Daphnia pulex: one gene and its partner. The protein of the gene in region 1 interacts with the protein of each later gene in a biochemical or structural test. Links are inferred from orthologs where the notes say so. Each region holds a gene or a part of one and is shown on either strand. Other genes may lie near its edges.

Region 1 (4,439 bases):
AAACCGTAAAAGAAGTTCGAGTATTACTGAAACTTATGATGGATTATTTGGAAGAAAAGGAAGCTTTAGTAGCTCGCCAAACGACGCCAATCAGCGACGAGGATTGGAATATCATCGAGGCTATCCACGAGTTGCTTCTAGCTTCCGTTTCTTCTCTTGAATGTCGCCGGATCCTTGCCAAATACAAGTACTGGAACAGTTTAGCTCAAACTTGGCATCCGGTTTATCTTAAAAGGATCATCAACCGTCAGCAGCACGGGGCTCTGACATCGCTAATTCGTCTTCGAGCTCGCCTTCTCTCCGCTCTGACAGTCTTCCCGGAACCGTCTCTGCCGGATTTGATGGATAGCAGAGTTGCCCAAACCCTTGTGGACGTGGTATCACATCCTTACGGCGCCGACAAGCACGCCCTATCCATTTTACGTAACATGGCTTTCCACAACATTTACAAAAGCCCTTTGTTATCGGCCAGTAACGTTCTTCCTCTCTTTGTGCGCCTTTTAACGGGCAATGCAGCCAATGTCGATATTGCTTCGTCTACAATGGCCGTCACTGCCCTGATCTCTTTGGCGTCCAACAACCAACGCGTTAAAAGCGACATTCGTTCGATGACGGAAGCCTGGTTCCAGCGTAATCCCTTGCTCATTAAGAAAGACCCGACTAAATTTCAAAGTTTATGCCTTAATTTGCAGAAATTAATCGATGTGTGAATTGTTTTTTATTGTGGATGTGCATATTTTGTTAAGTTAGAATTACACTTCATTGTCGTTTATTCGTAAATTTTATTATTTTCAACGAAAAAATATCAAGTGAAAACGAATTCTATAGGCCCACTATATGAAGATAAAAGATTGTGATTCCTTGCCAATTCACTGATTACTTGGCACTAAGAGAAAAAAATTTCTCACTCATTGGTGAAGGCGAATTATCTGGCACGTTTCCAAAGGCCTGATCAATAACTAGTTGAAGGGATACGTCTGGTTATATTTTTAAGGTTCGGGAACGAGACACAAGTTGAGAAATCAAATATTTACGGCTAGACTCCAAGCCATTCCGATTAGCGGACCATGTTATCAATGCATTTAGCTTTAGGACCTTAATATTATTCGACATCCTTTATCTCTATTTATATCTGATGTAGCTAGCTTGGTTTTATTGGTACTGATTGTATAATTGCACTAGTCTTTTACGCAAAATGAATCACTATTTTTTTCCAAGATTTCAGAGCGAGTTTTTTTGTCATTGTCATCGAATGAGTGAGTCATTGTCGAAAACAAAATCGCGCGCAAATGCTTTTGTACATATTTAAAGCAATCTGGCAATAGAAAAGAATTTGAATAAATTCGGAGGGAACAGGGCTCGATTGACTTAATGGCGACTTGGCAACAGCGACGATCCTACCACACGAGGGAAACTAGAGAGTTTATTGCGCCACCACTAGCTCCTCCATATTCAATCGGAAATCCAGTAAATTGTCAAGTGGCCGATTTAGTAATTCGAGTTGTGTGATGATCGAAGCGATAATTTTTTAAAAGAAAAATGCTTCGAACCAAGAAAGACGTAGACAAACATGTTCAAGATCTACAGAAGAAAGTGAACAACGAAAATGAGGTGAGCATCAACGTTTCTTAACTCAGGTTGATTTTCACGAAGTTAGAGAAGCCGGTTTAAAATTTAGTCGATAACAGTTTCGTGTTGACCTTTGAGTATTGCGGTATTGAATTTCCAGATACTTATTTCGTCTCTGACTGTCTATGTTGCACACTGTGTCAATATTTTAGTATAGTTTATCAAAATAATTGCTTGTGCCTACAAATGATGTGTAATGAAAACTTTTTTATATTTTTCTTACAGCGAAAACTCCTTGGCTTCAACTTTGCCAAGTCTTATCATCAAATTGGAGAACACAAGATAGCCAAACAATATCTAGCTTCATATCTTGCAATTAAGGAGTGTTCAGCTCCAGGCCATCGCCTGGCTGGCCAAATTGCAGAGTCTTTAGGTGAAAAAGAGGCAGCTGTCAGATCATACAAAAGATCTTTTGATATTGATAGCAGTCAACGAGATTTGGTTTTCAAGATCTGCAGTTTGGTTTGTGAGTTACCCACCAGCCCAGCCAACAGAGATCTTCAGCAATGCTGGTTGGAGAGAGCTGAAGCATTGCAGCCTCAGCACAGTGTAGTGTTTGAGCTGAGACAGAGGCTAATGCTGTCATCAAATTCCCAAGTAAAAGGAGCAGTGGAAGATCAACTGAAAAATGAAATGCTCAGCAAACCAGGTGACATGAAGCTTCGTATCCACCTTTTAAAGTTGTATCTTGATTCAAACAGAGTCAAGGAAGCTTATGAACATATGCTCAAGATTGAATCCCTTCAAGTATTTAGTCAAGAGCTAGACTGGTACAATTGTGCTCTGAATGTCCTTGAATCCTACAAGAAGCTTTTGGACCACAAAGTGGGGCCTGATTTCTACTTCCACTACTTGAATGCTGTAGACCGACTATCGTTTCTTAAGATTTCTAGAGTTGGTAAAGGCCTTAAATCAGCCCAATCTATCGGTGAGGTACTACCGACCTTGCAATCACTGGACGTCACTTTACAACTAGCGAAAGAAAACGGCGTTCAGCGAGATATTCTGGTACACTTTACGTGTCAGTTGTACTTTCAAGCTGGTTTAGTCGTTCTTCTGAAAGCTCTAGCCGGCCTCGAAGATGAGTACCAAGCCCTGAGCTATGCTGCTACTCTCTTCACCATCGCTTACAACCAGGGTACAACTGGAACCCCCAATCAGTTTGGCGACAAAAAACTTCTAGATTCAACCATTGTGACTGCCAGATACCGTCAGAGTCAATGTGGCCATTGCATCGTCGCCTGGGAAAGCAGAGAAGGTCGTAAATGGGTGGTGGACACTGTCAAGAGGTGTGACAATCCTGACGGACGACGCAAGATGTTTGAAACCGTCTTCGGTGGCGCCTCAACGCGCCCTTATTTCGGAGAAAAATTTCAATTTCCCAAGGAACAACTGGAATTACCTTCTTTTGCTGATTTGCTTGAACTTGATAAAACCGCCCTCCAGCTCTATTCTAACGAATTACATCCAGTGGTCTGGTTGGGCTTAAGATACTTTACCATGCATCGCAGACTGAATGAAACTGACTTTGCATCAGATCTCAGTCAGATCTTGACATCTTCACGCTTCATGCGCGATATCCCATTCTCTTCAGCGTCCTGGAATTCCTGCGCACCTGAGACTCTTTCTGCGCTAGACATGGAGTCATTCGTGTATGCTTCAATTTACAGCACCGTCTCCTTGGAGGAAAACGATTCGAAGGTGTTTGGAACGGTGCCTGCTGCATTGACAAAATCGCTGTGCACAGACCAGCAGTCGGCCTGGTGGCAATCTGCCATCAAACTTATCTCGGGATCGGCTAAAGAAAATTTAAGTGAGCTGCGCCGTACTCTGCAACGAGGTTTGGAGGTCATCCGTCTGTCTGGAAACCAACATGGGATTCCACTGGAACTCGTGGCCAAGCTCGCTCGAACATTTGTGGCCAGGGCTGGGAAAAGCCGCGTGTTCCCTGCCGTTGACGTACCTGCACCTATCTCCACAGATGTGATGACAGTTGAACAAACAGAGGCCCTTGAAAGTCAGGCGACTCGTTATTGGAAAATCTTTCTTGAAATGGCTAATACAGGAAATAGATACACTCCCCCTTTATCTGGTAAGTAATCTATAAAAATCATTGTCTAATCTCTAAACGCAAGTAGCTTTATCAATGTATCAAATCTCTCGCACTAGGACGACTATTCGAGTTTCGCTCAGTAGATGCTGATATTGACGGCCTAATATCAGAGGCGAAACTTTTCTCTGGATACCAGTTGTGGCGTTCTGGTCGACGTGAAGAAGCACTTCGTCTTCTACAGGCGATCTCTGATCCGTACGCTTCATATTACCAAGGGCTCCTCTTCAAAGAGATTGCGGAAGAAGAGTTACGCAAGGGAGCAACCGTGTACGAATCAAGATCAGCAGCCAATGTACTGTTGAACAAATCAAGAGACGCGTTCTACATCACACTGGATCGCCTTCGTAGTCCTGGAATGGAGCGTTTCCATCCACTAGATCAAAAACTTTCAGAAGTCATTGAAAAGGTCGAGACTAAGTTAGGCAGTCTAACCAACTTGTCTATCGCTAATGGTCACAGCACTGAGGAAGAAGAAGAGTCTGAAGAGAGGGAATATCTCACGCCTCAGCAAGTTACTAGCACCCCACACCGAAGAAACGTGATGAACATGACTTCAATGCGCAACGGAACGTCCCTTGCAAGTCGTCTTGAAACAAGCACACGAGCTGAAGCGAGACCTAGCCCCGAACGTTTGGACGCTCAACTTAGACAAATGGTGCAGCGACAGGTAAGTTTGACATAACAGTTGTCCCTTCAA
Region 2 (4,529 bases), about 950 kb from region 1:
TACCACGATTGACCACTAAAAGGATCAACTCTTGCGTTTCTCCAAATTTGATTACTGCGAACGGCGCAACTGGCAGGCAGACCTAATTCGAATTTGAATAAGTGAGAAAGGCTTGTCCTAAATATTTCATTAATTTTAGGGTTAAGGAAGTAAGGCATATCCATACTCTAGTTTAATCTTCATAGGGGCGGAAAGGTAAGGAGGACCTATTATTCTTAAATAACCTAAGCGACACTGTCATTCAGACAGCATGCATGATTTGATTATTTCAGCTTCCACGTCTGAAACATTTATTGTACTTGGGAAGGATGAAACAAATAAAAACGTATTTAACACACCATCCGTGAAAGAACACGCAGCGTTTAAAGGTGAGTTATAAAGATTTCCATTTTCTTCTTCAAGACTTGTTCAGAATTTTCTTTAACCTATCGGATTCTTCTTTATAAATGTCAAAAGTTGGATGAGGCCTATGCACAGAAAAGATAGTTTATACATTAAAATAAATATTATTATTATATATTATTGACAAATAAATGTTGTTACTGTGTGAAGAAGGTTTGCAAAGATTGTAGAGTGCTGAGTGGAATGTTATTGGGATCAACGGTGAGGATGCGTTCCAGAATCAAAAAGAATCCGCTCAGAGGCCAGGTGGGTCGAAATTGTTTATCTTCACTCTAACAAAAGAAATGTTCAATAATAAGATAATTCTGTCATAAACATAGACAATTATGTGGCTGTCAATAACTACCTTTAGAATACCCATGTACACTAGCAGTGTGTTATCAAGAACAGACATCTTATCCATTGACTTGGCCTTTTCGAAAGCCGCTTTAAGAATCGCATCAACGGACTGTTGAACATTTTCGACTGAAGATATCTCCGATCTCAGATTGACGGTCGAGCTAACTTTCATGATGACCTCAGCGTAAACGGCAAATAATGCATCGGGCTTGGCAGCAATCAAACGCTAAAATACGGAAAATCTATCAAATGAGGTCACACAATTTTTTGTATTGCGAACCTACGTCGACATGTTGAAGAATCAATGAGCTTTTCTGGTCACCTAACCCATTGAAGCGAGCCAAAGTGGGTGCAGCAAGTAGTGCCTCCACTGTCGACTGTTAAGATAGTCGTAAAATAACATTCAATTACAAACGATTTAAGAAATCTTTTGAATACCGGAATGACTTCGTTTGCAGTTAGCTGAGCCAGATTAGCATTAAGTTGATGCAAAGTGTCATAAGCAGACACATGATCGAGAGATTTTTCTACTTCTTTCTCTTCTTTCTCTTCGTCGCCACTCTCTTCCTCTTGTTCACTTTCTTCTTCCTCGCTGCTTGGTTCACCTTCATCATCGCTTTTAGAAGAAAAAAAGAAGAAATGAGATCGCAAATTTTAAAGCATATTGGATTGATGGTTTTCATACCTTAAACTCAGCAAAACCTTTTCACCTAAGCCACTGAAGATATCCTTGAGCTCCTGACATCCTTCTTCACCGAACTGATTACCGTTTAGATCACATATTTTAAGCATTTTTTTGTTTTTTAAAGAATTAGCCAATAGCTTTGCTCCACTCAAATTGATTTCGCCATGATCCATATAGACTTCCTAAAGTACGATCCAATTAATACATAGATGTAGAATTACGAAACGCCATATTAAGGAATTTAAACATATTGACATCAACAAAAATTACCTTTAAATGCTCATGTCCGGATGACAATGCCTTGGCGAGGAACTCAGCCCCCTTGGTACGGATCAAACAGTCTCCAAAGTTTATAACCGACAATTGCTGCCATTTTGGAAGAGCTTCTGCAACAGCTTGTGATCCTCTCCAGGTGAACGTGTTATCATTAAAGTTAAGAATTTTCAGGCCAGGGTTATAAACAAGCGCACTGGCCAATGCGAGAATACCAGGATGTCTTATAAAATTTTGAGGCATCTGGACTTCTTCCAAGGTTCCAACTGCCTAAAAACAAATATGCTGTAATTAAAATAATTAAATAATTACTGAAAATAAAAAAAACAGTGACCTTGAAAAATTCTGACAGAGCAATCGCTCCTTCATTTTCAAGTCGATTTCTTCCAACAATGAAGGTTTTCAGACTCAATGGAGAACCAGCCTCTTTACTGGCTTTAAGACAGTCATTTAAAGCTTGGGCAAGCATCTAAAGTAAAAGGTAGCAGTATTATGATTACAAATAAATGGAATTTTAGTTACCCGTCCACCATAAATTCCAAGGCCATTGTTGTTTAATCTTATACATTTTAGAGAATAGCAGACAGGGCTTTTCAAAAACTGAACAAGACCTTCCATACCAACTGGACCTAATGCATTATCACTCAAATCTAACTCAATTAAGTTAGCTTTAGCCAAAATGAGTCCTCCTCCTAAGAAACTCTATTTAAATAAACGGTGGTTAATACTGTTAATCGTCACATGCACCACAATCAAATTACCAAAGCTTTTGGAATTTCATCTTTCAACCGGCCAGTAAAAGCATCTTTCCACAGTGCTCTCTGGAAGGTTGGTTTGGATTCTAATGCTTTGGCAATAGCCTTGGCGGCTTCAACACCAAGAGTGTTTCCTTCAAGGATGAGACCTGTCAAACCTTTTGCAGCCTGAATTGCATTAACAATAGGTTGGGCTGTTGAAAAATTCCAATAAAAAGAACTTTAATCCCATTTATAAAGCAAACATAAAATCAGAACAAACCGTCGGCTTCCGTATCTAACTTGAGTCCTTTCCCGCTAAAATCTACTATTTCTTCTTTCGCATTCAAATTATTGGCTTCAGAGTCTCCATTAAACTTAGTCACTGCCCCATTCATTTCTTCGAAGTTGTTGGATGATTTTTATCAGGTTCAACCAAGATGACACTCTAAAGTGTAAGTGTAGTATTATTTTCTATTGAGACAAAAATTCACGTGTCTAATTTGAACGCTAACAGTCGGTTTATCGACTCCCTCGTACCCTCGAATTCCCAAGCAGAAATTTCTCTTTGTGCAGCGTTTTCACATTTCAAAAATAGGGTAGGCCTATTGACTTTAGAAAAATGAATTGTTAATTACTATTCATAACTAAATTTACACCTAACAGTATTTAATATTATTTTTAATTTAAAAAAATCAGTTGTATCAATTGGATTTCTGGCAGCATAAAAAAATTTATATGGAATTGTTTTTGACGTTTCTCCAACAGTCTGCTGTTTAGTCCTCTCAATCAGCAAAAATTTCCCATCTGTTCTGTATTGGGCCAAATAAAATCTAGACTGGTTCCTCTGTAAATATAAGAAGGAAACCCCTGTTAAGTTTTCCCAAATTTGTAGATCTCGTATTTGTGGAGCCGACATCATGATTAAGCTTTTTTCTCTTAAACAACAAAAGAAAGATGAAGTTCCAGGTCGGGCAGGAAATCAAAAGAAAGCATCCGCTGCCCAGCTGCGTATCACCAAAGGTCTATTGACTAAAAACAAGTTCTGACCTTGTGACCCGTGTTCCATTTATTTTAATATTTGTTATAATGTCTCGTAGATATTAATGAGTTAAATCTACCCAAGACTTGTCAAATGGAATTTCCTGACCAAGATGACTTGCTGAACTTCAAATTAATCATTTCTCCAGATGAGGTATTACGTATTATGAAATGCAAAATATTTATTTGATTTATAAAACTTTTTTATAATTATTCTGTTACAGGGTTTTTACAGAGGAGGGAAATTTTCTTTTAGTTTCAAAGTTGGTCCTGGTTATCCTCATGAACCACCCAAAGTGAAGTGTGAGACACAGGTGTATCACCCGAACATTGACCTTGAAGGTAATGTGTGTCTTAACATTCTACGAGAAGACTGGAAGCCAGTATTAACAATCAACTCCATAATTTATGGTCTGCAGTACCTTTTCCTGGTGAGCTCTTTTTCTCAGTTCATTGAAATCCATCTTGTTATTAGTAGTCCTAAATTCCCTAGAATTGATGTATGTTGGTTATTTTATTTCACTGTTCTTGTGTGATTTTCAAGGAACCCAATCCAGAAGATCCATTGAATAAAGAAGCTGCAGAAGTACTTCAAACAAACCGGCGATTATTCGAAACAAACGTCCAAAAATCCATGCGAGGGGGATATGTTGGTTCGGTAAGCTAAATTACTTTGAAATCATATTTAAAAATAACACAATCTTGTTTTGAACCTAATTGGGGAAAACAGGTTTATTTCGAACGATGCTTGAAATAACATCCGAATCAGATACAACAAAAAACGAATGGCTCTTTTCAACTTTGATTTCAAACGATTTTTAACATGGAAATTTTCATGTGCAGAAAAAATAAACATCCGCGTGTTTTGCGTTCCATCATTAGTTTTTTATTAAGTTTCATCATTCAGCTGTAATTTTTTCTTGAATATCCATCACCGTTCTTTACTCGATATACGGAACGATACACGGTTCAAGCAGAAGGAGGAAGGGAATGGATGACTAGGCTTTGCTACTGATGAGAATAGAAAGTATCGAACTATTCAGTGTTCCTACTTC

The links.
Region 2: the proteins of E3 SUMO-protein ligase RanBP2-like (region 1) and ran GTPase-activating protein 1-like form a complex in vitro, tested with the Homo sapiens proteins (5 studies listed by BioGRID and IntAct, with this or other methods). The link is inferred for Daphnia pulex from reciprocal best matches to the Homo sapiens genes RANBP2 and RANGAP1.

The regions. Positions count from the first base shown.
Region 1 is NC_060024.1:12,886,047-12,890,485, forward strand, and holds the start of E3 SUMO-protein ligase RanBP2-like, read left to right. Parts: upstream 1-1,375; 5' UTR 1,376-1,539; coding exon 1,540-1,611; intron 1,612-1,854; coding exon 1,855-3,721; intron 3,722-3,798; coding exon 3,799-4,409; intron 4,410-4,439. Other genes in the region: uncharacterized protein LOC124199486, read left to right, coding at 1-710. UniProt on the Homo sapiens protein: E3 SUMO-protein ligase which facilitates SUMO1 and SUMO2 conjugation by UBE2I. Involved in transport factor (Ran-GTP, karyopherin)-mediated protein import via the F-G repeat-containing domain which acts as a docking site for substrates.
Region 2 is NC_060024.1:11,932,093-11,936,621, reverse strand, and holds ran GTPase-activating protein 1-like, read right to left. Parts: upstream 2,996-4,529; 5' UTR 2,832-2,995; coding exon 2,717-2,831; intron 2,649-2,716; coding exon 2,461-2,648; intron 2,402-2,460; coding exon 2,222-2,401; intron 2,169-2,221; coding exon 2,034-2,168; intron 1,970-2,033; coding exon 1,697-1,969; intron 1,609-1,696; coding exon 1,427-1,608; intron 1,358-1,426; coding exon 1,180-1,357; intron 1,119-1,179; coding exon 1,026-1,118; intron 968-1,025; coding exon 749-967; intron 675-748; coding exon 544-674; intron 468-543; coding exon 398-467; 3' UTR 259-397; downstream 1-258. Other genes in the region: NEDD8-conjugating enzyme Ubc12, read left to right, coding at 3,354-3,456, 3,534-3,628, 3,699-3,905, 4,019-4,132, 4,205-4,231. UniProt on the Homo sapiens protein: GTPase activator for RAN. Converts cytoplasmic GTP-bound RAN to GDP-bound RAN, which is essential for RAN-mediated nuclear import and export. Mediates dissociation of cargo from nuclear export complexes containing XPO1, RAN and RANBP2 after nuclear export.